Tamandua tetradactyla: one gene and its partners. The protein of the gene in region 1 binds, or shares a complex with, the protein of each later gene. Links are inferred from orthologs where the notes say so. Each region holds a gene or a part of one and is shown on either strand. Other genes may lie near its edges.

Region 1 (7,297 bases):
AAGCAAACTCACTGCCCTCCCCATCTCTACGTGGGACATGACAACCAGGGGTGTGGACCTTCCTGGCAACATGGGACAGAAATCCTAGAATGAGTTGGAACTCAGCATCAAGGGATTGAGAAAATCTTCTCAACCAAAAGGAAGAAGAGCTAAATGAGACAAAATAAAGTATCAGTGGCTGAGAGATTCCAAATGAGTCGAGAGGTTATCCTGGAGGTTATTCTTATGCATTAAATAGATATCACCTTGTTAGTCAAGATGTAATGGAGAGGCTGGAGGGAACTGCCTGAAAATGTGGAGCTATGCTCTAGTGGCCACGTTTCTTGAAGATAATTGCATGATGATATGGCTGTCGCAGTGTGATTGTGTGGTTATGAGAGCCTTGCGTCTGATGCTCCTTTTGTCTACCTTATTGATGGACAATTAAAACATATGGATTAAAAATAAATAAATAATAGGGGGAACAAATGTTAAAATAAATTTAGCAGATTGAAATGCTGGTGATCAGTGAAGGGGAGAGATAAGGGGTAGGGTATGCATTAATTTTTTTGTTTTATTTTTATTTCTTTTTCTGAATTGATACAGATGTTCTAAGAAATGATCATGATGATGATTATACAACTATGTGATGACAGTGTGAGTTACTGATTATATAACAAGAACTGAATGATCATATAAGAATGTTTGTGTCTGTATGTGGTTATGTATCATAAATAAAAAACAAGTTTAAAAAATTTAAAAAAAAAGAAAGTAAAAAGACGACCCATGGAATGGGAGAAAATATTTGTAAATCTGGTAAGAGACTTGTATACAGAATTTATAAAGAATTCTTACAACTCAACAATAAAAAAACAAATAATCAAATTAAAAAAAAAAATGAGGGGGAAAAAGAGGAAGCCTTTTGGAAAGAGAGACAGAGTCTTGAGAGAGCCACAAGGTCAAGAGCCCAGGTAGCCAGAGACCTCTGGAGATATAGGAAAACACCCCTAGGGGAGCTTCATGAAACAAGAAGCCTGGAGAGAAAGCTAGCAGACATCACCATTTTTGCCATGTGACTTTCCAGTTGAAAGGGAAACCCTGAACTTCATTGGCCTTTCTTGAGTGAAGGCAACCTCTTTTTGGCACCTTAATTTGGACATTCTTATAGATTTGCTTTAATTTGGACATTTCCACAGCCTTAGAATTGTAAACTAACAACTTATTAAACTCCCCCTTTTAAAAGCCATTCTGTTTCTGGTAATTGCATTTCAGCACCTAGCAAACTAAACAACCTGTATTACAAAGGTTAAGTGATTATCATATCTTGTATTCCATTGCTTGAAAATTTGTCACAATTTCTTTTCTTTCTTATTATTTAAATTTCTGCATATTACTCTCAATTTTGCCTACTAACCTACAAAACATAAAATATTTACCATCTGGGGTGGGTCACGGTGGCTCAGCAGGCAAGAATGCTTGCCTGCCATGCCAGAGGACCCGGTTCAATTCCCGGTGCCTGCCCATGTAAAAAAAAATTAAATTAAAAATAAAAAAAATTTTAAAAAAATATTTACCATCTGGCCCTTTCTGAAGTTCGCTTTTCTGTACCCGCAGTAACATGCTGCAAGTGGTAACACCAGGAATTAAACCCAAGCAATCTGTCTGCAGGGTCTGTGCTAAAAAGGCACATTCACTTCCTTACCCATGACCCCATCTGTGACCCCAGTATTTCATCCCCAAACAAGTGACTTACGTGCCTGTAGAATCTACTGTCACAGCCCGGACCCCACCACGGTGACAAAGAATCTTAGCCAGTGGTTCCTTCATGGCTGGACTCCATAAGGACACAGTACCTGAAAGTCACAGGAGCACAGCTAAAGTTACAGGTGAGGCGCTGAGGTTATTAAATCTAGGAAAAGTGGATACTCAAACCAAGAAGTACAAGACAAAAAGGTAAAAGTACAAGTTAAGGGACTTGTCAAGTATAAATACAGAAGAAAAACAAGTGAGAATAGCCAGAGTCAAAGCTAAGCCACGGACTGACCATTGCTGTGTCCAAGATGAATGATGGCATTGTAAGGGTTCTGAGTCATGATGTCAAGCCGTCCAGCCCGAGCATTTAAAGCTGCCACTATCTTCCCCACTGACACATCCAGGTAGGTCAGAAACCCTGTTTCTGACTGTAAAAGAGAGAAAGAATAACTGGTCCTGATTGCGCTCTGTCTTCCCCCAACCCCAGTCCCAAATGGGGCAGGATCCTGTCAAGGGCTGCCAACCCGGTTCTTATGCTCCAGCCACTCACAGCTGTGGCCAGTAGGAAGTGGAAGGGCAGGAACTCAAGCCGTGTGACGCGGTCACAGCGGCGGATGCAGTGGAGCTCGATGCCCTGGTTATCATAGATGTGAAGCCAGCGGTTCTGAGCAACAGCAAGCAGTGCCTCCGAGTGCAAAAATCTGATAGGTGATTCAGTGGGAAAACAGATCACAGACTGTCATTAAAAAAGGAATGGGGCTCTGGCACTGAGGGATTGACAATGCCTTCTGGACTAAAAGAGGAAAAAGAAATTTAACAAAATAAGGCATCAATGGCTAAGAGAGTTCAAATGGAGTCAAGAGGCTATTCTGGAGGCTACGCTTATGTAAGCCTCAGTGAGATAGTGCTCATTGTCATGGTCTGCCATACCCCAACAAACATCATTCCTATTAACCCTAAAGAACACTTAGGACTAGAGGGTTCGTAGGCCAGATAAGTCCTGAAACCCAGAGGGGTCAGCCTTCCAGAATGTCAACTAGTTCCATCCCCCTCCCATATTATCAACAGCCCCTTCCCACATGAAAAAGTTAGAATGGGCATAGCCCAAATACCCCTAAACATTGGGAGAAAGATCAAGGGAGAGAAAGAGTTATAACAGAAAAGATAGGCTTTAACAATGAGTACGATTGCTGAGTCACTATAATGATATTTATTTTAGCTTCCAGTGTTTTAAAGCAGCTAGAAGGAAAAACCTGAAAATGGGGAATTGCAACCTATACCAAACTTTGAAATCTGTTCTTCAAAGTTAAAACGTGCTTTGAAAATTATGGCTTTTTTTATAATTATTGTATATTTTACAGTAAAAAATGTTTTAAAAAACTTTTTAGAGGGATGGGGTGTCTCAGTCCCCATAAGCACTTATAGGAGGTCACTAACCGGATGTCCCGCACAGCCTCCATGACATTGATCTCACACATGAGCTTCTTTGTCACCCAGTCAAGGGCAGCCACATGACCCCGACGACCTCCGAAAGCCAAGTGTCTATTAGAAATGGGGAACAGGCAGGGTGTCAGTGTAGGAAAACACTGTGACTCAGACAATTCGAGGTCTGCCCCCAGGCCAGCTCTTCCTCTCCAAGTGAGAGGACAGATGTTGTTCAAGAGGGTCCACTCATATCTAGGCAAATCACAGGATCCTCCCTTCATCAACAACCCCAACATACACTGGATTGTTTGCTGAGGTGGGCACAACTGCAGTTTAGCAGACACTACCACATCTCAGTTCAAGAGTCCCTGGAATTCAACATTACCTCCCAGTTCGAGAGTAGTTCAGCCTATAGGGTCCAAACTGCCGCAGATTCAAGTCAAAGTGCTGCAAAGAGGAAGAGTTAAAAAATAAAATAAAATAAAATAAAAAGTCAACAGAGAACTAGCTCATTTCATCAACTCCCTCTTCTATTTCTCATATCCCTCTTGCTCTGAACAACCAATCAGTTTTGTGGCCCCTGCCCCAGGCTCAGGCTAACCTTGGCTGCACTGGCAATGTCCACAGCCTCCACAATGTCAGCCTGACGTATCTTGGCCGTGTCTTCTCCATCTTCCCCTTCCAGAAACCTGCAAAAAGGGTTATTGCAAAAAAAATCTTCTTAAGATGAAGCGGACATACCCACATAGAAATGAGAAAGAGGAGCCCCATAAAGCAAGGGCTGGGAATGCCCAGATCAGGGTCTACTCACCCAGGCTCCTCAGCAAGCAGCAGCTCAGAACGAGCAGCTCTGACACTTGCTTCCTCTTCTTCAGCTTCAGCGACCTCAAGTCTGTTTCGGGTTTTGGATTTAGCATGTAGTAACTATATCATTGGGAGAGCAAGGGTTGGGGGCAAAAAAATAGTGGACATGTGGAGGGGGTCACAGGAGAATCACCTGGCCCCACCTCCATCCAACCTCCCTGTCTCCAACCCCTCCCCACTCCCCGGCTAAGTCTCACCTTTTTGGATCTGTCAATACGACGGAACTTCTGGGTCGCTTCCACAGGGACGGGAGAAGGGCCTGGGAATGGGTCCTGGGCCTGGAGTAAAAAGGAGGAGACTAGCTAACAAGCTCGAGTTGACCTCAACCTTCGCACTCTCAAGGCACAAGATGCCTTGCCCTGCCACCCTATCAGGCCTCAGTCTCACCCCAGACAAGCTCCGTTCAGGCTCCGGATTCCTCCGAACCCGAGGCTTCTTGGTGACCCGAGACTTCTTTAGAATATGAGTCTTCTTTGGCTTCTGGGGGCGGAGATCCCTCTTTCTCTTCTTGCGACGAGGGGGCCCTGGAGAAACTCCGGCAGTAGTCGAAGCCACGTCTTCTCCCTCCCAGTATCGCCGAGGTTTCTGCCGGCAGATCAGAGGCCCTAAGGCTCCGCTGCCCGCTTCCCCGACCCGCCCCCTCCATCCCCTCCATCACCCCGCAATTAAACACTTTCCTTCCCGCCCCAAGGGGGTCTCTACCTTCTTCTGGACCTGAATTTTGTTCTTGTTGGGCGGAACATCCCCACCCGGCTTGGGGGCCGTCTCCATCAAGACCACAATGTTGATGACCCACGTGCAAACTCGGTTCAGCCGTCCCACTGTAGGCTTAGAAACTCCCGGAAGTCCTCTGGCCTTCACCCAATCAGGGCCGCGTCAGGTCTGAGGCCCTCTCGGCGCCATGTTGAAAGAGGGCGCCCTTTCTCCTGATGGGCGGGGCAGGCCTTGGCACCGCCTTCCAGAACAGCGGCTTTTGCCAGAGTAATGATGCCCTTGCGAAAGAAAAAGAGCCAAATCCAGGGCCAGAGCCGAAGTAACGGTGTAGTTTGGTTTCCAGGCTTTGTTTTCCCATCTTTTCCAAATCCTTCCGAGTGCGGACTTTTTAGGAGTGCGCTAGCGTTAAACGTGTCAGGACTACATTTCCCGGCTTGAATCAGAAGGCCACTTCCGGCACGCTCTTGACGCGGGTTGCCACAATTACTTCCGGGTTTAGTAATACTGAAGGGAGAACGTGAGTAGGGCAGGGCTTGGGCTGAGGGGTTTGGGGCTCTCATCTCTCCATAGCCCCTGCCCCGGGGCCTGGGTAGAACCGATATCCCAACCGGGAGAAACTGCGGTTTCCCGGCGGGCTGTCTCTCAAAAGTGCTGTAGTTTCCTCCGACCAGGCCAGCAAGGGGAGCTCGGGTGCCTTTCGGCGTGTGAAACCTAGTGCCCCTCTCCTGCTCCCCTCAGGTCTTCGACCCAGCTATGGCTGAGCTGATCCAAAAGAAACTACAGGGAGAAGTGGAGAAATATCAACAGCTACAGAAGGGTAAGGGAGCAGGGTTGGTGTGGCCCCGCCCCAATCCCTTCACTCACCCACAACCCAAAGCCATAATGAAGGTAAAGTCTTCTGTCCCACCGGGCCCCGCGTGCAGCCTCTTCCCTACCTCATTACTATCCTCCACCCGCTGACCCACGGCTCCCATCCTTGTCTACTTCGTCTGTTCTCTTCTGATTTTGGTTGTGGGGGGCGGGTAACACATTTGATGTCTCTAATCACATCTTTCCTCCCACCCCACCCCTCAGACTTGAGTAAGTCCATGTCAGGGCGACAGAAACTTGAGGCACAGCTGACAGAAAATAATATCGTGAAGGAGGTGAGGGCTTGGGATTTTGTGGGGTGAGGAGGGACCTGTTCTGACGGTGGTTCTGATGGTATATGTCCACTCCTTCAGGAACTGGCCCTGCTGGATGGATCCAACGTGGTCTTTAAACTTCTTGGTCCTGTGTTGGTCAAACAAGAGCTCGGGGAGGCCCAAGCCACAGTAGGGAAGAGGCTGGACTATATTACCGCTGAAATGTGAGTCTTTGCTTCACTTCCCTGTAATGTAACCAGTACCATTAGAGTAGAGTTGTTTTGGAAACACTGTAGAGCAGCTTTCCATAGAGGTGCCCAGTTGTCCAATTTTCTCATCCCGCTCCTCCCCTAGTTCTCAGCTTTTCCACCAATCTCTTTCTTGCCTTCAGCACCATCGCTACTAAGTCCCACTAATTTCTCATTTTCTGATCTTAGTTTCCTTTGTCTCCCTCAGTAAACGATATGAATCCCAACTCCGAGACCTTGAGCGGCAGTCAGAGCAACAGAGGGAGACGCTTGCTCAGCTGCAGCAGGAGTTCCAGCGGGCCCAGGCAGCAAAGGCAGGGGCTCCTGAGAAGGCCTGACCTCTTGGTGGGGGGGAGGGGAGGGGAGGGAGTGAGGCAGCTCTAGGATCTATACTGTAACTAATAAAATGTGAAAATACTGGCTCTGTTTTCTGACAATCTACTTCTGTCATGATTCTCTCCATCCGTTTTTCCACCCCTTCCACCTTGTACAACACCTGCAGTACTCCTGTAGGTCCAGATTCTAGAGTCTGTGTGGCAGGGTATCCTTTTGTCATTAAAGTCAGGAATGTCTTAAGCAAACGTGCATTTTGTCTGTATATACAACCCTGAACTCTCCCTTATCTTGGTTGACACAACTGTTTTGAAAACATAGGAATGGCATTTGTAATGCAGCTATTGTTGGGAATACCAATTTAGTTGAAGAAGTCGTGGTTATCTTAATCTGAGACCCCAAGGTGAACTGCAGTTACCCTCCTTCTAGTGAACCCTTGTCATCCTCTAAATTGCCCTGGCATCTCTTTTAGATCTTTTCAACCTCTGTGTTCCCAGAATTTACTGGAATGTAGTTTGAGCTAATTTAAAATTCCAGCACAAAATGCCTTACAGTATTATAATTCCTCTAAGCTGTGCAATGTCCACAATTTTTTTTTTTTTTTTACAAATTATAGCTAAGGGAGTTCCTGATACTGAGTGCTTTAATTTGATGACTACTACTTGACCTGGGTCTGATACCTGAGGAAGAAAACTTTAAAAGCAATAAAGGGAATGGGAATGGAGATGTTGCTGGAGAGGAATAAACCATTCTGAGGAATCCATTTAACCAACACTTCACTCTTAGTTCTTCAAGGGGATTGAAAACATCAGGCCCCTTCCTGTTCCATGGCTCCTACGTTCAACCAACTCCCCATCC
Region 2 (8,116 bases), on another chromosome or scaffold:
CTAGGCACCTTACTTGCCTCACTTAGTCCCTGCCCTGCACAAGAACCCCAAAGCAATGTTTTCTACAGGACCAACAGTGACTGATCTCTATATTCCAACTTCAGAACTAATCTTACTTCAATCAGAAAGGATTTACTTTCCAGTGCTAGCCCAGAAGTTGGAGAGTCATTTACTCCCCTTTAGGTACCAAGACTAGCTTTACCCACTTTGTTACCAGGACTAAGTTTCTACCTCGTCCCCCCAACACCTATGTGATAAAGACTCTGTAGTCCACCTACAAGATATTAGAACCCCACTGAGAAACAACAGTCCAGTTTCCTGGGCTCTGTCACTTGAGAGAACTCCTGAAGAAAATAACCTACTTATATTGCAATATCATCTCTTCCTTGATTTCAACTTTTTGTTGTTTGGGTCTAGAACCCACCCTCAATCCCACCCCACACAATTTTCAACACTGCTTGCTTGCTGAGACTACCCTTTATCTGACAGGCTAGGCTTCATAAAAGCACCCGTGGCTTGGTCTGTCCCTCTTCAAATGTGTTTCAGTGCCTATGCCACCAGAATTAAATGGGTTTACTATGCCATCAGAATTAAAATGACCATCCAATCATTGTGACAATCAAAAGTGCCTTCACATTATTTTCCAAAGCATCATCTATGTACAGCACTAGCCTTGTTGAGAATCACTGGAAGTTGTTGAGGACCTGTCATCAACGAGAAATGCACCAAGCTGTGTCAAAGTCAACTGGGGGAACTTCTGATTTATCTATTTACTATGTATTAAATAGTGCTTACTCTGAACCTGAAACTGTTATAAACACCCTAAAAACATTAACTCATTTAATCCTCATAACAGTCCTTCGAAGTGGGCACTATTATTACTCCTATTATACAGATAGACAACTGGGTCTTGAATGATTAAGTGATTTACTCAGGGTCATACAGCTGACAAATAAAGAAACCAAGATTCAAACCCAAGTATTTTTATTGCATAGTAAATGGAAAGCAGTAGGCTATGCTGCAGACATCAGATCCCATCTCCAAAGATTTTGATTCAGTAGATCATAGATAAAAACAGAGAAATTTGTATGTAATTTAATAAGACTTTCAGGTGATTTTATATAATAAGAAAGGCATTCACCTACTGACTGGCATATGAGAACCTCTGCTCTATACCACATCTCCTTTGGCTAGAGACAAATTTCTCTGTTGGAGTAGAATGAGAAAGCAAGGATGAACAGTGGGTGGAGGGCTAATTCACAGAGACTCTCGGAAGTCAGGCTAATACATGTCACTTTTATAAAATAGTCAAGAGAAATTTTTTTTTTTTTTTTTTTTTTTTTTAAACATTTTCTTGTTTTATTGTATTTTGTTTTTCCGTTTTTTGTTACATGGGCTGGGGCCGGGAATCGAACCGAGGTCCTCCGGCATAGCAGGCAAGCACTTTGCCCGCTGAGCCACCGCGGCCCGCCCAAGAGAAATTTTTAAACAGAATTAAATATATTAAAAATGTAGCATCAGAGGAAGAGTAGAAATAAAACTAATAAACATGAAATTAATAGAAGGACCTATGACAGCAATGGTCCTAAGTGAGAGACACATGAAAGAACAGCCTAGCTAGTTGTGTATTGAGCTGTGGATAGGAATCCTGAACCAGTCATGACAAATGACACCAACTAACCCTAAAGCGTGACTTCATGTGATAGAAGAGTTACAGTAGCTGAGAAGAAAATAGCAGCAATCAGATAAACTCGGGAAAATAAAACAAAATGTAAAGTCACTCTAAAAAGAGTTTAGCATCATACTAATATAATTGTTACTACTTTGATTAGATTTGTGTCATCTCTGTGAATAAATGGAAACATCAGAAGCAGGCAGCGCCATAAGCAACAACTCACACCAAAAAGGGGACTAGAACAGCTGCACATCAAATAGCTGTGTTCCTGGTCACTCGGTATTGACATGATTGTGGGTCAAAGAGTCAATTCAAACATTAACCAGAGTTCCTGCTCTGCCAAGCATTGCAATGGAAGGTGGGGTACAGAGAAAACTCATCTCATACACTAGGACACTCATTCTTTTCAGCTTTACAGATAAGCATCACCATTACCTCCAAAACACTAGTTAAAATGGCATCCCACGTGTCAGGAAGGTTCATTTCTTGGTTCTTCCCAGTTTAATCATAATGAACCCTAAAGAATTTAGGGTGTAGAATCGGGAGATGGATTAAGAGAGAGAATGCCAGATTTTAGGGTTTTTTCCATTAATATTATTTTTTAGCAGTAAAGGTTTTTAAAAATAAAAATTGAATGGACTTTTCCAAAATTTAATGTATTTCATAGTTTTTCCTCAGAGACAGGTATTACAAATCAAGGCAAATAAAATTTCCTTTCATCAAACCTTCTCCAACTTGCTTATGCTCATTCGAATTTTGTCTTTCAACTGTGCTCTTATTCTGGAACAAACTGATGCTTCACATTAGGCAAAACTACTCTCATCACTGTAAGTCAAGACTTCATCCCATTACTCTGAATTCTCTGTTACTCTAAGCTCTAGTTGTAGCCTTAACCAGCCATATTAATTATAACTTTTAATCAATTTAATAACTTCTATTTCACAGAGAGAGGTAAAGGTAGATAATTGAGAACTGCCTTATACAGGCATTTTAGCAGACAAGCAAAGCTCATAAATACACATAAAACAACTGTCTGTAGTCACACACACCTTCTTAAAATGGCAAAAATGAGCACAACATTAACATGACCCAAAACTAAAGCCACTCTATTGCACATAAAAACAAGAAGCAATAGTATATAAATTTTAAATTAACTTAGTAATTAATGTTTCAGTATTCTGTTTTTGAAATTCTTACTATCTAGTGATTACTCATTAACTCATTTTAATAATATTTCAGAGTTTCAAGCTACCTTAAGAACTCAAAATCGTGTTTAAACTGACATAGTACAAAACATAATTGCTGTTGATAGAAAAACGTTTGTTAGAAGACTTATTCATTTTAGTTAAATATAAGTACACATTTTTAATAATCTTAAACATAATATTGGAGTAATGCTCGTTTATTTGATCAGTAGGCCTGTATCAGAAGTTTAGGAAATTTAAGTTAACTAACATCTTCATGAGAAAACAAATCTAAATCTCTTGAAACATGCATCTGTGCTTTACTTAATATTGACAAATCAGAGAAAAGAAATGTAGTTGCTTTTTCTTTCAAAATTAAAATTATTAAACCAGTCTGGTTTGTCCAAAGATTCACCTTAATTATTTGAACTTAGATTCTTTGAAGGTTTCTGACCTGGAAGCTTTTTTTTTGTGGAGTGGGGTGTGTGTGTGCGCATGGTCTGGGAATTAAACCCAGGTCTTTCGCACGGAAGGTGAGTATTCTATCGAACCACCCGTGCACCCACCTGGAAGTTTTTGTAACAAGAACATTTTTCTTCTTAAATATTTAAGGTGTTAGAAGTTCAGTTTTTTATTTTCTGTTACTTTGGGGACTAACATAAGTGCATATTTATTTCTATAAACCAATAGGACAGAGCTCCTTTGAGACATTATCAATTACCCCAGGAGAGGAAAACATTTTATATTCACAAAATGAGATAATGTTTTGCTAAATTTTAGACACACAGACACAAAGAGAATTTATATCTTCAGCTTTACAAACTCAAACTTGGGTAAAAAAATAAACACAGACCAAGTTTTGGCACAAAAAAACCCCACAGCAACACAAAGAAGTATGAAAATTCACCAGCCCAGATCACAAACAACTGTTCTTCTCCCCAGTGGGCACAAAATTCTTAATTAATTTGAGCTTGCACAGACAAATTAAACAAAAAGACTAACAAACTGGATCCTCTGTGATCTCTTTTCTACTAGAGAACAGATCACAATCATCCAGCTGTTATCACTAAATTGTCAGACCACAAAACCCAGCTGTCAATGTGGAGTAATTTATCAGCCATGCACAAATGAGAATGAAAAACAGAATTTTAAAAATAAGTAGAAAGAAAAAATCATAAAGTGGTTCTGTAACCACTTGGGATTTACTCTAAAAGCCAACAAGAGACATGCCTGGACTTAACCCATGAGGCGCACATCTTGAGTGATGCCCTTTATTTGACTCCATCAAGTGAGTCCACTTGGGCATCTCTGTGAAACTGAGAACTTTCGATGTTAAATATAATTTTCGAAACTAAAATCTTGTCCCTCCTGCAAGTATAAAATGAACAGATATAAAGTTTTATTTAACTCATTTGTTAACGAGAAAACTAAAAAGATGTTATAACAAGTTTAAAGAGCATTTGAAAAACTATATATATTAATAAAGAAATGCTAAAATAAGATTACAGGGCTATATACAAAGCTAATTATTTTACATAACAATAAATCATAACCTATTATGTCCATCAAGCACAAGTTACTTTCATGGATAAAAATCTACAAATTAATCTCTGCCCTTACAGAATTGTTAAGCAGTTCCGTCAAACCCGGAACAGCACAAAAAGAACACTCAGTAATTTATATTTGCTTATTTCCAAGTTTTGGATAATTTTTCTCGCAGGAATGAAATACTGGAAATACTGCATTGGGCATATACATAAAATTATTCGTTTATCTGAGATTCAAATTTAACTGGGAATTCCATATTTAATCTGGTAACCCTACTAATAAGTTAATAAAAACTTTATCAAGTTTGTTCATTTCCACCGTCAATTCTGTGACCCTTATATCTGTCCCTCAATTACCCTATTAGGTAACAAATGGTAAATGAATTTCTTCTGCACTGCTATTTTTATATTTACCACTGGGCGACGCTTATAACTCGCAGTGTACTGGGCGCAAGCAGAGACCACAAACGCGTTTCTCCATCCCATCCGCTAGGGGACCCTCTAGGAACTTCTCAGGATTCACAACCAGGCTGGCTCGCGCGTACCAACGCAGTTGGGCGCACGCGCAGTACTACTCCCAGGCCAAACGGAACTGCGCAGGCCTTCCGATGAGTGCGCAGACGCCGTCGGAGGGGTTCACGGGAAACGGAAGGGGGGAGGTGGAGCCGCTGAATCGCGCACGCGCTCAGACGGTGGGGTGCCGGGGCTCTAGCCGAGTTGGTCATTTTGAGGCTCGGCCTTTTGGTGGAGATGCCCAGCCGGGGGACGTTCCCGGATGACCGTGCTAGAGTGGTACCAGACACCTCGACCCCGCACAAAGAGGAGCTTAGCTGCAAGGTCAGTGTGGGACGCAACGAGAAGGCCCCCGAACTCAGGACTAGGTGCCGCCGAACCCTGAAAATAGTCCGTCGCGGACCTTTGGCGCCTTGCTCAGGCGGAAACCCCCGGTTCCGTTTAGTTAGTCCGTACCGGGCAGCACGGAATTTCATCCAGCCTCGGCTTTGCCCACTGTTCTGCTCTTTTTATTCATAGCATTTTACAGCTTCAGTTAATCCTTCCCTTTCCTTAAAACAGTTGCGGCAAAGGATACTCTGAAACACGCCCTAGAGTTATAGCTAGATGGAAGAGAGGTGGATATTTTGTTTGGTTTTCTCTTTCCTTTAAGTACCGCCCACCCCAGATCTGATCCGCCTCCAGTAATCTCCATCCCAGGAAATGTCACCAACATCCACCCCGTTGTCTATGCCAGGTAACTTGGGAACCATCACGAAGTCATCTGTTCTACCTCTGAAGCTCATTTTATGTATTTCTTTCAAGATCTGTACCGTTACCAACCCAGATTAGCCACCATTATCTGTCATCAGAGATGCCTACAAAGGCTTCATAGCCGGTTTCTTCCCATCGTTATACCTTTTAAAATCTCCACTGGTAGCCAGCGGAATAACCCCTAAAATACATATCTGATTGTCACTCATCCATCAAAATGGTGGATGGTGGGGAGTTCAGTATATATTTTTTTAAAAAACGAAAAGCTTTTGTGCCATAAACAAAATTTTCAAAGAATATATGGGGAAGAGGGGTGGCTATAGCTTTTCAGGTGCTAAATGTCCTAGATTCTACTGCGGGTCTGTCTCTAACAATGAGCAAGCTTCTTTAATCACCTGGATTCATGATTTCCATGTTAGAAGTAAAGTGAAATGTAACCTGCCATTCCTAAAATTCAGTGTTCAAACGTAAGGTATTGTTAATACGTATTCATTTCAAAGAGGTAATATGAATTCAGGCTTGGAGTTCAACCTAACCAGGCAGTTACTAGATCTGTGACTGGAGACACAAGGATGCACACGTGGAGGGAAGTTGGGAAGGGGTGGCTTTTCCAAACTATGTTACTACCAGAGTGAGCCACTTAGACTGATGCATGGCAGATCCTTCAAGTGTGAGGTAAGAAAAAAGATGGTCAAAGGGGCTCTTAGAGGTGCTAGTGATACTTTTTAGTCAGTTATGTTGACAAAATAAGTTTCTGAAAAAAGTTGGGAAAAACTAAATTTTCCCTTAGTAGAACCTTCTACTAATAAAAGAGAAGCCTAGTTCAGCAAGGCCAGTTTGAACTGTCCAATCTTTCAGATACACAGATGGATAAACCACCACTGGGAGTAGGTCTCATTGCCACAGTAGGGCGTTTAGTACTACTTGTTTGTTCTGAATGTCTGACGGAATCAATTCGTGCATAAATTATAAAGTGCTAGTAACTGAAAAAAAAGAAGTGGTCCACCCTCATTCCACTTGCTGTTTTATTTTAAGAAGGTAAAGCACAACTTAAAAATAATTAATTTAAAGAGTGATATCATTTCTGGTGAGTATCATATTTTTTTAAATAGTAGTCGTAAACTTTGTTTAGTAACTGTAGCAGTTCGGACCTCCCCACCCAACCCCACAGTCACCCTGTGACTGGGTGCAATGGGTTTGACAAGTCCAGTTGCTACTTTCTCCTTCAACTTTACCCCAACTCCACTACCTCACAGAAGGCTGTTGGATAGAAGTTGTGTATTCGCAGATAACTGATTTTGACCGTCAATACTTAATATTCCCTTATCCATCTCTCTAATTTTAAAAGTCAGTAAAGGAGCCTCATTGAACATGCTTTGTGAACCTCTGCTTAAAGGAGTTTTTCTTTATTTCAATAGATAAAAGAACAAAAAGTTATTGTGGATGAACTTTCTAACTTGAAGAAGAACAGGGTGAGTAATTAGGTAATTATGAATAGTATATGGGAAGGTTTATTTATGTTTAAATTAACTATATTATTTGTATTCCTGTTAATGTATGATATATGTCTTATTTATATTAAAATTTGCAAGAGTGCAATAGCTTTTAGCTAATAAATTGCAAAAGTGAAAATGGTTCAAATTATGAAGAGTTCAAGATTATTTTAATATGTATTTACATACCTCTATTTTTTTATGTTAAATTTTATAGGTATCAAATAATTGAGCATGGCTTTTCCCCATATGGACCAAACAATACTAGTTGTACTTTGGTATGGTGTAGTTGCAATCATTAATGGTATTTATTTATAGTTTTTATGATTTTTATTAAAGCCCATGGTTTAACTCATGGTTCACTGTGTTAGTGTAGTTCCTTGAATTTTGTTTTTAATTTTTTATTCTATTACCATATATACAATCTTAACATTTCCTCTTTAAGTCATATTCAGATATATATTTCAGTGCTGTTACTTGTGATTCACAATGTTGTGCCATATATTGCCAAAACATTTCCATCATTTCAACCCTGTACATTTGTAAGTCTAATTTCCCATTCCCAATCCCTATGCCATTCCCTGGTAACCTATATTCTAGTTTCTATGAGTTTGCTTATTCTAATGGTTTCAAAACAGTGAGATCACACAGTATTTGCCCTTTTGTGTTTTTTGTGTCTGGCTTATGTCACTCAGCATCTATGTCCTTTATCGTGTTGGGAAAGTTTCCTTCTAAGTGTTCTAAGTGTTTTTATCAAGAAAGTACACTGTATTTTGTCAAATGCCTTGTCTATGTCAATTGAAATGATCATGTGGTTTTCTTCCTTTATTCATTAGTATGGTTTATTACAATAACTGATTTTCTTATGCTGGACCACCCTTGCATACGTGGCATAAAGCCCACTTGATTACAGTGTATGATTCTTTTAATATAATGTTGAGTTGATTTTGC
Region 3 (7,656 bases), on another chromosome or scaffold:
TGAGATGGGAAACTTTATGTAATATATATGTTCATACACACACACAAAAGGATCAACTAAAGAGACAATGGCAATTAAATCCAATATGTGATCCCAGATGGGAGCCAACAGAGAGGGGAGGAGGCTCAAAAAGACAGTATTGGAACAAATGAAAGACATGAAAAAAAGACTGTAAGCTTTATAACAATGTTACATTTACTGAATTTGTTAACTGCATTTGAGGTGGTTGCATAAGTGAATATTCTTGTTCTTTGGAAATGTATATGAAGTACTAAGTATTCAAGGAGCATGATATATACTATCTACACTTGAGTGTTCAGAAAATGGATTGGTAGACAAATTGACAAAATGATATGGCAAATCTGACAAAATGTTAGGGAGATCTGGGAATCTAAGAGGGTGGTGGTATGATGTACTCTGTATGGGGTTTATGTTAATTTTGTAATTTTCCTGTAAGTTTGAAAGTTTTTCAAAATGAAAAGTTTAAAAAGTTTTTTAAAAAGGCAACCTATATCAGGCTGAACCTGTAACACAGCTGCCTCCCATTAAGCTGCCCAGAGCCTGACTCTTCAATTCTGGGCTACAACCAAGACTGACAGGAGGGCAGCTATGTTCCTGACCCATCCCCAGGACATCTTACCTTTCTCAATCATTTCTTTCGTCTGAGGGTGAGACATCTTGATAAACATACTCCCGAAGCAAACCATCACATCTTCTGAAATGGCAAATGGTCATTTCTTCAACAAGTATTTTTTGAGCACCTACTACCTGCCATGTTTTTTACATGCTAAAAACAGGAGAACCTGACAACATTCTTGTCCTCAAATAGCTTATGTCATAGTGAAGGAAAAAGAAAAGGCTCTTATAAGTGCTGTAGAAAAAAATGAAGCGGGGTAAGAGGTATAGGAAATGCCAGAGTAGAGAAGGGACTTGATACTTATACTGTGTGGTCTGAGAAGGCCTCACTGATTATGTGATATCTGGCCAGAGACCCAAAGGAAGTGAGGGTGTGAGCCCTGCACACATACGGGGGAAGAGTGAACCTGCAAAGGGAACAGGAACAGCAGGGAGTCTAGTATGGTTGGAGTCAATGAGTGAGGGGGAGTGTAGAGATGATGTTAGATCTTGGGGGCTGGACTATGTGAGGCCTTGCAGGACTCTAGACTTTACTTTTATGAGGCACAACTAGAAGGTTTTATACTTTCTGCTGCACTTTAAACAAAACTCAAACTTCTTCCCTTGGCCCCAACACCCTTCGTTACAGCTGGCCTCCGCCCATCTGTCTAGTCTCTCATCTCATGTCCCTTTCCCCTTGCTTATTCTACCACAGCCACTCTAACCCAATCTCTTTAACCCTCAATCCCTTGCGGATTTTCTCAACATCTAACCCATGTCCAATTCCTTTCTTTACTTTCTCACAATTGTCTATTGTGTATTTTATGTGGTTTTACTCACGTGTTAGTGCACAAAGGCAGGAACCACATCATTTTAATACGTTCCCAGCACTTCTGGGAGTGTCTGCCATCACTGAGTCAGGAGCCAACAGCTTGTCACTAAGAAAAGCAGCTGAAATCCCGAGCTCCAGTCTGTGTCAGACCCTGTAACATTTTCTCCCCTATCCTCACGGCCTGTATTAATTCCCCATAAAGCTGAAGAATCATATGTCTGTGGCCTCCTGCCTGGTCTCTATCATGGATAAGGCAAGGACCTTACAAGGAAAACCGAACTGACCTCCAGGACCACAATGAGGAAACTGCAACTTACCAGAGACGCTAAGATCCTTCTGCAGGGCCCTCAGGGCTTCGCGGTTCTGATTCCTTTTAGTATCCAGGTCCACAATCTAAAAAGCAGGGGCAAGGGGCTACTTAGCCACCTCTTGTTCCAACCCTGTCACGTCCCAACAGACCAGGGGCTAGAGAGATGGTAAGACGTCATTCCTTGGTTTCTTTCAACAACCTGTGTGATACTGATGTGTGAACATGTTTCTTCTCCCACTCAGCTTCCCGGTTCTTAAAGACAATACTGTAAGCACATATCTTCCCCTGAGAAGTTGCTGGGAAATGTCTGCTGACTAAATGGATAATTTGTACCATCCACTGGAACATCAGCTCTCAAACTGTATGTCAGAATCACTAGGGGAACATGTTTAAAATGCTCATGCACAAACCTGTCTCCTAGACACTAGGATGAAGCAGGTCCAAGAATCTACTTTTGAACAAGCTCTAATAGCTGACTCTGACCTAACATGCAAAAATCCAACAATGCCAGACTTGGACAACAGGGGTGGAGGCACTGAGACGGTAACAGCATAAGAGCTGCTACAGAAGCGAGGAGGCAGTACAGAAGGCTGCTTGTGACCACTGGCTCTGGAGCCAGAATACCTGGATTTGAATCCTGCTGTTCCCTACCAGTGCTGTTTCCTTCTCTGAAAAACGGAGATGTGAAAGTACCAACCTCACAGGTTACTGAACCAGGAACTAAATGAGTTAGTTAGTACAGTGCCTGATATATAGTAGGCCCTTAATAAACTTTAACTTCTGCTATTATCATCCACATGGTGATACAGTATTTAATTTATCAGGCTCTTCCCCAAGTCTTCCTCTTCTCAGTAAATAATGGCCAACCATCCAATCATTCTAAAGGGAGATGAGAGAGACTCATGTCATTTTGGCCCTGCCTCCCATTCACTCACCTCTATATGTAAACACCATCCTGTCCTACTGAGTCCATCTCCAATTTATATTTCCCACCCTTTCACTTCTCTCCATCACCAGCACTCTGGTCCAAACCCACCTCTGCCTGGACCATAGCAATGGTCCCTCGCTTCTTCCTGCCTCCACCTTTGCCCCTCTATATTCCATATATTCTATATTCACTGCAGCCAGAGGGCTCCTTTTAAAACCTAAATCCAGTTGCGACCTACCCCCACCGCTTACGAACTCCCTAAGCAGGTCCACAGGGCCCTTTGTCAGAAGGCCACTCAAGCCTCTCTTCTGTTCCTCGTCTCTCCTTAAGGCCTTGACTGGTGTGGGGCACCCTAGATCACCAGTCCAGGTCAACTCACAGCGAACCCGTGGTAGAGCTAGATGCCGGCCCCACACGGCTCTGTATACGGCGCTCGCCGCCAGGCCCCAATTATCTCCCCCAGGTCCCAACGCCACGGACGGGCCTCCCACCTGCCGCTTGTCCGCCATCACTTCCTCGGCGAGCTCCTCCACCTCGACCAGGTACTGCAACACCCGCTCCGCCTCCGGTGACAGCACGGCGCCCGCCATCTCCAGGTCCGCAGCAACGCAGCTGTGAACTCCTTCTGGCTCCGTTCGGAATGTGCGGCCTAAGGATCCCTCAGACAGGCCTTCCAGCGCGCAGGCGCAATGAAAGGAGGGTCGCCGGTGCGCAGGCTCCTGCGCAGGCTCGCTTCTGCGCACGCGCGTCAGCGCGTAGGCCCGCTTGCTAGTGCGGGGCGGGGCATCACGTGGGGGCGGGGCTGGAGCTCGCCTCGTAGGCTCCTTGAGTGCCTTTCGCAGCTGGGTGTTGACCCCGTTTCTCTCTTTTCAGATATTTCTTAAGTGCGTCCTTTAGTGGCAGATACTGGTATTCTGGGTGAGCAGTGAACAAAACGAAGCCCTTTCCCTCATGGAACTTCATCCTCCTTGGAAACGCCGCCGACAAAAATTATATGCTACGGCAGGCAATGATAAGGGCTTCAGAGAAACGTGAATCATTCTTCTCCTGTTTGAGCAACACCAAGGAACCCCGAGTGGCATTGTGGCTTTTTTGTGTGTGTGATCATTCCATTCTACATATATAATCAGTAATTAACAATATCATCACATAGTTGCATATTCATCATCATGATCATTTCTTAGAACATTTGCATCAATTCAGAAAAAGAAATAAAAAGACAACAGAAAAATAAAAACAAAAAAAATTATACATACCATACCCCTTACCCCTCCCTTTCATTGATCACTAGCATTTCAAACCAAATTTATTTTAACATTTGTTCCCCTTATTATTTATTTTTATTCCATATGTTCTACTCATCTGTCGACAAGGTAGATATCAGACACAAGGTTTTCACAATCACACAGTCACATTGGGAAAGCTATATCATTATACAATCATCATCAAGAAACATGGCTACTGGAACACAGCTCTACATTTTCAGGTGGTTCCCGCCAGCCTCTCCATTTCCTCTTGGATAACAAGGTGATATCTACTTAATGCAGAAGAACAACCTCCAGGATAACTTCTCTGTTCTGTTTGGAATCTCTCAGCCATTGACACTTTGTCTCATTTCATTCTTCCCCCTTTTGGTGGAGAGGGTTTTACCAATCCCTCGATGCTGGGTCTCAGCTCATTCTAGGGTTTTTCTCAATCCCTTGATGCTGAGTCTCAGCTCATTCCAGGATTTCTGTCTCACGTTGCCAGGAAGGTCCACACCCCTGGGAGTCATGTCCCATGTAGACAGGGGGAGGGTGGTGAGTTTGCTTGTTGTGTTGGCTGGAGAGAGAGGCCACATCTGAGCAACAAAAGAGGTTCTCTTGGGGGTGACTCTTAAGCCTAATTTTAAGTAGGCTTGACCTATCCTTTGTGGGGTTAAGTTTCATATGAACAAACCCCAAGACTGGGGGCTCAGCTGATAGCTTTGGTTGTCCACACTGCTTGTGAGAATATCAAGAATTCAACTTGAGGAGATTGAATTTTCCCCTGTTCTCACCATTCCCCAAAGGGGACTTTGCAAATACTTTCCCGCTCACTGATCAAATCACTCTGGGATTCATCAGGGCATCACTATAGACAAACCAACAAAATCTCATGTCCTACCCAAGGTTCCATGTACTTATGTTGTTCAACCAAGCTATCTACATAAGTTATATTAGGAAATGCACTAGTCAAAATATAAATTTTGTACCAAATAAACATTTTTTGCTTTAGTCTCACACATAAGTTGAAATTTTAAAATATTAATTACCATCTATTTTCAGCACACTGCAGTAATGACATTCCTTTGTTCTTCCTCATGCAAAAACATTTTTTAGTATTTGTACATTTAGTCACTATCATTATACACTCTAGGCATTCCTAGATTATACCATCTCAATCTTTATCATCTATCTTTCTTTGTGATTTCATTTATGCTCCCAGCCCTCCTCTCTCTATCATTCTCACATACAGCTTCATTCAGTGTTTTAACATAATTGTATTACAGTTAGGTAGTATTGTGCTGTCCATTTCTGAGTTTTTACATTCAGTCCTGTTGCACAATCTGTATCCCTTCAGCTCCAATTACCCAATATCTTACCCTATTTCTATCTCCTGATGGTCTCTGTTACCAATTAAATTCTCCAAGTTTATTCATCATGTCAGATCATATCAGTGAGACCATACAGTATTTGTCCTTTTGTTTCTGGCTAATCACACTCAGCATTATGTCCTTAAGGTGCATCCATGTTGTTACATACTTCATAACTTTATTCTGTCTTACAGCTGCATAATATTCCATCGTATGTATATACCACAGTTTGTTTAGCCACCTGTCTGTTGATGGACATTTTGGCTGTTTCCATCTCTTGGTAATTGTTAATAATGCTGCTATAAACATTGGTGTGTAAATGTCTGTTTGTGTCCTTGGCCTCGTGTCCTTTGAGTAGAGACAGCATATAGATGGGTCCTGTTTTTTAATCCGTTCTGCCAGTCTATGTCTTTTGATTGGGGAGTTTAATCCATTAACATTTAGTGTTATTACTGCACAGGTAGTACTTTCTTCTACTATTTTGCCTTCTGGATTTATATGTCCTATCTAATCTTCCTTCTTTTTACCTTTACTCATAGTCTTTCTTACCACACTCTTCTCCACACCTCTCTCTTCTGTCTTCGTATCTGTCTCTAGTGCTCCCTTTAGTATTTCTTGCAGAGCTGGTCTCTTGGTCACAAATTCTCTCAGTGACTTTTTGTCTGAGAATGTTTTAATTTCTCCCTCATTTTTGAAGGACAATTTTTCTGAATATAGAATTCTTGGTTGGCAGTTTTTCTCTTTTAATAATTAAAATATATCATCCCACTGTCTTCTCACCTCCATGGTTTCTGTTGAGAGATCTGTGCATAGTCTTATTGGGCTTCCCTTGTATGTGATGGATTGCTTTTCTCTTGCTGCTTTCAAGATTCTCTCTTTCTCTTTGACCTCTGACATTCTGATTTGTAAGTGTCTTGGAGTACATCTATTTGGATCTATTCTCTTTGGGGTACGCTGCACTTCTTGGATCTGTAATTTTAAGTCTTTCATAAGAGTTGGGAAATTTTCAGTGATAATTTCCTCCATTAGTTTTTCTCCTCCTTTTCCCTTCTTTTCTCCTTCTGGGATACCCACAACACGTATATTTGTGTGCTTCATATTGCCCTTCAATTCCCTGAGTCCCTGCTCATATTTTTCCATTTTTTACCTATATTTACTTTTTCTTGTCGGATTTCAGATGTTCCATCCTCCAGTTCACTAATCCTATGTTCTGCCTCTTGAAATCTACCATTGTAGGTTTCCATTGTTTTTTTTCCATCTCTTCTACTGTGCCTTTCATTCCCATAAGCTCTGTGATTTGTTTTTTCAGACTTTTGATTTCTTCTTTTTGTTCATTCCTTGCCTTCTTTATATCCTCCCTCAATTCATTGATTTGGTTTTTGATGAGGTTTTCCATGTCTGTTCGTATATTCTGAATTAATTGTGTCAGCTCCTGTATGTCCTTTGAATTGTTGGTTTGTTCCTTTGACTGGGCCATATCTTCAATTTTCCTAGTGTGATTTGTTATTTTTTGCTGGCATCTAAGCATTTAATTACCTTAATTAGTTTATTCTGGAGATTGCTTTCACTTCTTTTACCTAGGGTTTTCTTGCTGGATGAATTTGTTGTCTCTCTGTTCTTTGACATTCAATTCAGCTTTTTCTGGACCTCTAGCTTAGGTTTTGTTTAAAAGAGGAGAATTTTTCAGTTCTTGTTTTCTTGTTTCTTGCCCTGCTTGTATGGTGCCTCCCCCCCTACCCCAGGAGGGTTTTTGTAGGTATTATAGACCCCAAGTGGATTTTCCCAGACCAAACTGGCCTCCTATCAGGAGGAAAGAGTCACCTGCATCGGTTTTCCCTGAGGATGAGACCCAGCAGGTTGAAAGACTTTTCTGTGAAGTCTCTGGGCTCTGTTTTTCTTATCCTGCCCAGTATGTGATGCTTGTCTGCCTGCAGGTCCCACCACCATTAGATGATGCAGTACCTTTAACTTTGGCTGGGGACGTGGTGGAGACAGAGGAGAGGTTGGAGTCTGGTTTTAATGGCTTCAAATTACCAAGCCCTGGTGTCTGAATTCCTTGAGGGAGGGATTCCACCTGAGTTGGGCTTCACCCCTCCCCTGGGGAAGGCACAGGCTCCAGACAAGCCCCCAAAAGAGCTCACTTCTGCCTATGGCTGGGGCAGTTGCAGCCTGAGAAGTCCTGCTGCTATATCCAAAGGCAGTCAAGCTTTTGTAGATACACAGCCACAAAAACCTCTGTTTCCTTTTTTTTTTTTCTTTTTCGGTCAGCCCTGCCCCCTTGGCACCAGGGCAAAAATGAGCGACCTCTGCTTTGACCAGGTTCACCTGAGCTGTGGGCCTATTATTAGTAGTCAGAA
Region 4 (7,740 bases), on another chromosome or scaffold:
CACTGGTATAGAGTATGGATTTGAGGAAAAAGAGACCAAGCAACAAAGCAAAGGAAATAAGGACACAAGAAGTGTTGGCAAGAAACAATAAAAACCTGAGAGCAGCTATGGGAACAAATAGTCATTATGTCAAGTTTCACAACATTTTAAACTTTACCAACTATTTAGAGTGGTGTCTCTCTGTTTTGTTCCCTCATCATAGTCTATCAAGAGAGATGAGTCTTCTGCTGATTTGAAAGGAAGTATGCCCCCTAGAAAAGCCATGTTCTAATCAAAATATCATTTCGTAAAGGTAGAATAATCTCTATTCAACATGGTATGTTTGAAACTGTAATCAGATCATCTCACTGGATGATGTGATTTAGTCAAGAATGGTTGTTAAACTAGATTAGGGGATGACATGTCTCCACCCATTTGGGTGGGTCTTGATTGGTTTACTGGAGTCCTATAAAAGAGGAAATATTTTGGAGAATGAGAGATTCAGAAAGAGCAGAGAATGCTGCAGCACCATGAAGCAGAGAGTCCACCAGCCAACGACCTTTGGAGATGAAGAAGGAAAATGCCTCCCGGGTAGCTTCATGAAACAGGAAGCCAGGAGAGAAAGCTAGCAGATGATGCCATGTTCACCATGTGCCCTTCCAGCTGAGAGAGAAGCCCTGAACTTCATTGGCCTTCTTGAACCAAGGTATCTTTCCCTGGATGCCTTTGACTGGACATTCTATAGACTTGTTTTAATTGGACATTTTCTCGGCCTTAGAACTGTAAACTAGCAACTTATTAAATTTCCCTTTTTAAAAGCCATCCTGTCTCTGGCATATGGCATTCCGGCAGCTAGCAAACTAGAACAAGTCTATACTAATCATAATGAAGGCATAAGAATCCTCAAAAAAGAAGATATAATTAATTTTGGTCATCAATTCTGATACAAAATAGGTACCCAGAAAAAGAGGCCCAGAGTCAATTAATTTTAAATGCCTAACTCTTGGACTGACACCATAGAATGAACATATGTTTATTTATATTTATTCTCAAGAGAATACATTTTATTTCCAAGAAAACAGCATTTATATAGTGCCTAAACTGATGCATCCAGTACCTAAATGACTGCTTATACCAATGTATGTTATTCACATATTTTTGCTCAGGACTACCCTCTCCTCACAGCCCTTTCTCAACTCAATTCAATACTATAAAACATATGCACAATCAGGGAGAACAAATGAATATCATTGCCAAGGGTTGAAAATGGATGATATATAAGAAAAGGTACAATCAATTCAAGCTACGATCTATAGTTAACGGTAACACTGTAATAAGCTTTCACTGAATGTAAGAAAGGCATTACGCCAAAACTAAATGTCAACAGTGAGGGGCATAGGGGTGGAGTACGGATTCTGTGGCAACAAAAAGGAAATGTCTTCATATAGATTATGGTGGCAAAGGCATGTCTATCTACTTAGACTGGATTGTATGATGTGCAAATAAAATTGTTTAAAAATGAACAGAGAAAAACAAGTGCTAGAGAAAATGTGGACAAAGAAATGTACCTCTTCACCGCTGGTAGGGAAGCTGAGAAGTGCAGCTTTTTTGGAGGGCAGTGTGATGGTTTCATAGGAGGCTAGGGGTGGGGTTGCTATATGATCTTAGAGAAACTGAGTGTGGGGACATGGATGGACATTTGCACACTGGTGTTTATGGAGGCAGTGTTCGGCATTTGTGATGCATGGAGATGGCCTAAGGATACAACAAATGAGGAATGGAAGGATGGACTGTGGTGTTTATATACAACAGACAACTGAGGACTACTGAGCGCTGCAAGAAGAAATGAAGTTGTGAGGCATGCAACTAGGTGAATGAATCTTAAGGACAGTATGTCAAATAAAATGTCAGAAACAAAAAGGCAAATATTATCATGCCTCACTCTTACGGATGAACAAATACAGAGAACTGAAGTTGAGAGCACAGATTATCAGGTTGGGGCCTATTGCAAAGGTTCCTAGATTGTAAACTCTTAAAGCAGTCACATGTATTTCGGAGCTGTAACTGATATTTTTAAATTTTCAGATACTGAGCTATTTGTATATAACCTGGTCATACCCTGAAACTCTGGGTATTTATGTGATACCTGAGAGAGAGAGCACTGAAGTTATGAAAGTCATTACCCCATTCGGCAACTGTGAAAAAAGAGATCAGACTTTGTCTAGAGATACGAATGAAGCTGATCTGGATAGGACTAAGGTAAACAGAATACTGGGTAAAGGATGATATGGCCCATATTTTCAAATTTCAACCTCTGTGTGAGACCAAAGGGAGAGATTTTTATTTGGTACAAAATTTGTGTTTTGGGTAGCATATCAACTAATTAAAATTTTATGGTCAGTTTACTTGAACACCATAATTACATGGAATCTTGAATAGGGTGTTGGAAGATCTTGCTGGTTTGCACAGGTTAGTGTGATACCTGGATATATCCCAGAGTAAATTGGGCAGAGAATAAAAAAGTATTTGCAGAACAGGCCACTGTGGCTCAGCAGGCACAGTCCTCACCTATAGACAAGCTGGAGACCTGGGTTCAATTCCTGGTGCCTGCCCATGCAAAAAAAAAAAAAAGTATTGGGGAGAAAGCAGGAAATACTTAACATCCCCCTCTGGGGAATTTCTGCAGTGGAGACAAATAATTCAATAAGCTGAGCTCTCAATCTTAGGGCTTGCCCCTATGAAGCTTATTTCTGCAAAGGAGAAGCTAAGCCTACTGAGAATTATACCTAAGTCAATTCGGCAGGTGAACTCAATGTCCTCCCCGCTATGTGGGACATAATTCCCAGGGATGTAAATCTCCCTGGCAACACGGGACCTGACTTCCAGGGATGAGCAAGGATCCAGCATCAATAGAATGAGAAAGGCTTCTTGACCAAAAGGGGGAAGAGTGAAACGAGACAAAATAAAATCTCAGAGGCTAAGAGATTTCAAGCAGAGTTGAGAGGTTATCCTGGAGGTTATTCTTATGCATTATACAGATACCCCTTCTAGTTCATGGTGTATTCAAGTGGTTAGAGAGAAGTATCTGAAATTGTTGAACAGTGTTTCAGTAGCCTTGATTCTTGGAGAAGACTGTATAACTACATAACTTTTACCATGTGACTGTGTAATTGTAAAAGCCTTGCGTGTGACGCTCCTTTTATCCAGGGTATGGACAGATGAGTAAAAAAATAAGGATAAAAATAAACAACTACGGGTAGTTAAAGGGTAAAAACTGGGTACACTGAAATACTGTGGGTCAAAGAGAGGGAGAGGTAAGGGGTACAGGATGTAGGAGCTATCTTATGTTTTTATTTCTTTTTTTGGAGTGATGCAAATGTTCTAAAAATGACCATGGTAATGAATACACAACTATATATCATATATTGCATAATACGGTTGGCCTATATGTGTATGGATATTTCTCAATAAAAATATTAAAACTAGAGGAAAACCACTTAAAGTAAGTTCTATTAAGAAAAGTCTATTCATCCTTGATTCCTGTAGGAGAAACCCTAGTCTATTTGTAAATAATTGACATTCTCCTTACCCTGATTTCTACATTCCTCGATTTCAAATTAAAGCGTATCTGAAGTCCCAAATGCTCTACAACAGGCGTAAATATCTTCATCCAGTTTTCTTTTAACGGCGTATATCTGTTAGCTGGTACTGGAATTTTCCTAGTTTCTTCTTTTCCACCCTACAATGAAAGAACACACAACTCAGGAGTCGTCTGGAGGGTGAGAATGGAGTTGTAAAATGACAGATGATTCACAAAAATCTTTTAACCGAACGAGTTAAACTTCGGCAGTCATTTCTCTACGAGGAGCTCTCACACCAGAAGAGCCCCCGCAGCTTCAACATCACCCACAGGCCACCGGCTTCACCGGCCACTGGCCGCAGCCTCGCTCCAGTCCCACAGCCCCCTCCAGTACCAGGAGCCCGTCCCCAGAGAGGGGCGGGAAGACGGGCCTCTTCGCGGGCCGGGACTCCTCTGTGTCCATGCGTCCCGGGTCCCCGCCGTCCTCCGCCACAGAAAGCTGCTCAGCCTGTCGTTTCTTCACCCGCCGGCCACTCTTGCGGGTGACCTGGGTGAAGCCATTCTCCACCCCAGCGCTCTGTGCCTCCATCTTGGTTTCCACCCTCAGATATGTGCAGGGCAGGCAGGCTGTTCCAGTTGAAACACGTGCGCCGCCCCACTGCGCAGGCGTACCTCCGAGGATCCAGCCACTGCCGACCAGGCCTAAGGCTCCACCCCCTGCCTTAAGAAGGCCCACGTAGAGGACCTGAAGCGGTATTTTTTTTTGAAGGACCTATCCTAAAATATGCCTAATTCTTAATGCCCACACTACTGCTGCATAACCTACAGCCAAAATACCTTGTAGTATCTAATATGTATATGTGCGAACGTCAGTAAGTAACGACGATAAACAAGTTAATGCCGTTGGTGAAAGAGAATCTTGTGTGATCTCGGTAGCACATCTGGCATTTTGTTGGATAACTAAATCCAACTTCCTAGGACGTTAGGGAGCGAGGTACGGCAAGCGGGGGGGGACAAACTAGTTAAGTTTGGCGTCTGCCAGCCAGGTTAGTTTTTTCTTAAGAGTCGGGGGTGGCCGTTGCTGTAAGTGAAATCTGCTCGGCCATGTCGGCCTTTGAGAAGCCTCAGATCATCTCTCACATCCAGAAAAGCCTCAACTACACGGTGTTTGACTGTAAATGGGTGCCCTGCAGCGCCAAATTTGTGACGCTGGGCAACTTCCCACGGGGTACCGGCGTCATTCAGCTGTACGAGATCCAGCACGGAGACCTGAAGCTGCTTCGGGAGGTGGGTGCCGGGTGGAGACTGCCCAGGTCTGCCCTTGGGGGGCGAGTGCCGATCCTGAGGTCTGCATCCCTCTTTGCTTAAAGCCTTCGTCCAGCGTCCCCCCAAAATACAGCTCGAGCTGCGCGGGACTTGCGAAGCTAACCGCAGACTGAGGAATGCTTCAGTGTTAAAATTCTTTCGTTCGAGTCCTGAATTCTCATCCGCGGGCCATTTCATCCGCGCCCTGCAGGCCCCTTCTTCCAGCACCCTCGGCGCAGTCCAGCGCGAGGCCTCTGGGAAGCGAAGTTAGGAATTCTTGTATAAGTTCGAGGCCTTAAGGGGCATTTGGCAGTTGTTCTGGAGAGTCCGTTGCGAAGCCCTTGTTAGTATATTGCTTTTTCATACAAGCATAGCCACAGCGGCCCCTTCCCCCAGGAAGCCTACAGTAGTTGAAGCATTCAACCTAACACATCTATTCATTCTTTCAACAAGTATTAATTGATTATCTGGTATCCGCCGGCAAGTGATTAGCAAGGTCCTCGATCTCATGGAGTTTCTTTTCTAGTGAGGGTGATAATCGGTTAAATAATCAAAGATGCATAAAATGCAACGGTTTTATGAAAGTAAAAACAGATTTGGGACAAGTAGAAGTTGTTAATAGGCCAAACTGGGAGTGGAAAAGGAGGTTTTCAGAAGAAACAGAAGCCCAGTGGTGGGAGAGAGTTTTAAGAAGCAAAAGAAGGTCGCAGGGACCAGACCTTGCAATATTTATAGGCCATTTAAAGGATTTATGCCTTTACTCTTAAGAGAAATGGGACATCAAGCAGAATGTGGCAAAATCAGATTCATATGTTTTGTAATGAATACTAGTGAAAGAATTAGAGAATAATGGTGGATAACAAATTTTTATCACTCTTTGCAAATTAAAAAATGACGATTTGGATTGCCTGAAAAAAGTGATCAGGTATAATCAGGTGGTTAGGGTTCTATACAAAGGCAGTAAAGATTGAGAACTCCATGGATACTTGGAAGAGATGGGGGTTCAACCTATATTAAAGTATGAACACAATTTAGATAGGCAAGGTTAGATTAGAAGATATATAAGGCTCCATCCACGTTAAATTTCTGTAATTGCCTGTGTTATTGTTCAGTTTGTCTTCTCAAGCCAGGCAGTCTATTTAGAATGCCTAGGCATGGCCTGTACTTTTCCACCTTTGCTTATGTTGTTTACCATTTGGTCTTCAGTCACCTGTTGCTATTGTAACATTCAATTCCGATTACATGACTTAAAAGGAAACTTTTCCTGAGCGTCACACGAATGAACTTTCCTTTTTGTTGTTTTCCTAAAGTACGTTTTATGTGTGCCAGGAATATATGTTCTGTCCTTTTTATCTCTAGATTGTAAGCTCCTAAGGAGTAAGGTCAGTGTCTTCTTAAGTGTGGTTTGTAAGAGGTAGCCACTCAATAAATATTTGTTAAAAGAATGAGTGAATGTATGTCTGTAAATAGGATATAACTTGGGAAATTTCCAATATTGGTTTATTAAATATTGTTCGGGGTTGAACAAATGGGAAGCATTGGAATAGCAGAGAAAAACATAAAGCTGAAGTTTTAGGAACAGATGCCAGTTGAAGCTGAACCACAGAGAATCTGCAGACTTCTGCTTTTCAATAAGAAAATTTGTACACATTTCAGAAATACACTTACTCATAGATTGAAATACCGCTCTTTCTTTTTTGTAGAGATTGTAGAGAATTCTAGCAAATTTGTTTTGTTTGTTTTTTAGCAAGCTTGCTTTATAACAAGAGTAAAATATGTTCGTGATAGGATATTTAGAAAATATAGATAGGATTAAGCAGAAATTTAATGTTACCCACAATCTCAACCACAAAAATAGCCACTTTTAAATTTCACCTGTATCCTTAGAGGTCTTTTTTTCTACCATAAACTATCCATAGAGAATCTGCTAATCCAAGACACAGTTAGTTCTAAGGAACGACCAAAGGTATTTGAAAGATGACCCCCTTCCTCTAAGGAGCCTAGAGGCTCAAAAGATGGTAAAACATAACAAAAACACAGCTAAGAACTTACGTTGAATTTGGCATGTTAGTCCAATGGAAAAGAATATGGGTGAAATACAGTCTCGGTGATTCTCGACCCTCACTGCACATCAGGCCCACCTGAACGTGTTTTGTTGCTGTGGTTTTTGTATTTTAAAGTTTTCATGCCTTGGTCCCCGCCCCTCCTAGAAATTCTGCCTCAGTGAATCTAGACTAGATGGAGGCCTGGACGTCAGTCTTTTTTAAGCTCCTCCCAAGGGATTTTAATGAGTACCAGAGGTGAAAACCATTGGGATCAATGAATATTTTATAAATATAGTATGAAACATACTTGATTTGATTATTGAGGAACTTCCTCCAATCATTTGCTCAAAGGCCCATGAATAAGAGATAAAAACGTGAAGAAAGCCATCAGTCTTTTATTGACATCTTCCTTTTCTTGTTGGTAAGAGGGTAAATAGGGACTAGAGAGCAGGGCTTTCACATATGGGTGAGCAGTTTGCTTCTCCAAGTGGGGTTGAAATTCATCCCTTTGCCCAACATCAAGTCCTAAATGTGTGAAACTTCATCAGCCTATGAGGGACAACTTTTTTGATTGGTTCAAAGGTACCATATGGCCTAGTGGTGGCCCTCAAAGATGGGATCATGCTAATGGATGTTTATACTATAAAAATTAGTAATAAACTAATAAAATGCTGCCTTTTTTTAGCCCCTGTAACACTGAATTCACTGCTTGTTAGCATTTGGTTGACTAAACCTTTTAATGTTAACGACTACCAGGATGTGGGGGAGGAAATACTGACAGGCTGTGCTATACCCACCCACAGACAGAACAAAAATAGTTCTCAGGGGAAT

Evidence for each region.
Region 2: PFDN6 (region 1) and ASDURF share a complex: the UniProt entries of both Homo sapiens proteins name them as parts of the PAQosome complex. The link is inferred for Tamandua tetradactyla from reciprocal best matches to the Homo sapiens genes PFDN6 and ASDURF.
Region 3: PFDN6 (region 1) and PDRG1 share a complex: the UniProt entries of both Homo sapiens proteins name them as parts of the PAQosome complex. The link is inferred for Tamandua tetradactyla from reciprocal best matches to the Homo sapiens genes PFDN6 and PDRG1.
Region 4: PFDN6 (region 1) and DNAAF10 share a complex: the UniProt entries of both Homo sapiens proteins name them as parts of the PAQosome complex. The link is inferred for Tamandua tetradactyla from reciprocal best matches to the Homo sapiens genes PFDN6 and DNAAF10.

The regions. Positions count from the first base shown.
Region 1 is NC_135331.1:89,218,796-89,226,092, forward strand, and holds PFDN6 (prefoldin subunit 6), read left to right. Parts: upstream 1-4,934; 5' UTR 4,935-5,251; intron 5,252-5,472; 5' UTR 5,473-5,487; coding exon 5,488-5,551; intron 5,552-5,808; coding exon 5,809-5,879; intron 5,880-5,957; coding exon 5,958-6,082; intron 6,083-6,314; coding exon 6,315-6,444; 3' UTR 6,445-6,697; downstream 6,698-7,297. Other genes in the region: WDR46 (WD repeat-containing protein 46), read right to left, coding at 1,733-1,832, 2,024-2,159, 2,282-2,432, 3,169-3,273, 3,542-3,603, 3,758-3,845, 3,968-4,080, 4,218-4,298 and 2 more. UniProt on the Homo sapiens protein: Binds specifically to cytosolic chaperonin (c-CPN) and transfers target proteins to it. Binds to nascent polypeptide chain and promotes folding in an environment in which there are many competing pathways for nonnative proteins.
Region 2 is NC_135329.1:163,382,128-163,390,243, forward strand, and holds the start of ASDURF (ASDURF protein), read left to right. Parts: upstream 1-5,037; 5' UTR 5,038-5,156; coding exon 5,157-5,243; intron 5,244-7,090; coding exon 7,091-7,144; intron 7,145-8,116.
Region 3 is NC_135327.1:21,176,640-21,184,295, reverse strand, and holds the start of PDRG1 (p53 and DNA damage-regulated protein 1), read right to left. Parts: upstream 3,403-7,656; 5' UTR 3,276-3,402; coding exon 3,177-3,275; intron 1,841-3,176; coding exon 1,765-1,840; intron 716-1,764; coding exon 641-715; intron 1-640. UniProt on the Homo sapiens protein: May play a role in chaperone-mediated protein folding.
Region 4 is NC_135343.1:41,450,163-41,457,902, reverse strand, and holds the start of DNAAF10 (dynein axonemal assembly factor 10), read left to right. Parts: upstream 1-4,328; 5' UTR 4,329-4,663; coding exon 4,664-4,846; intron 4,847-7,740. Other genes in the region: RNA-binding protein PNO1, read right to left, coding at 3,569-3,718, 3,954-4,148. UniProt on the Homo sapiens protein: Key assembly factor specifically required for the stability of axonemal dynein heavy chains in cytoplasm.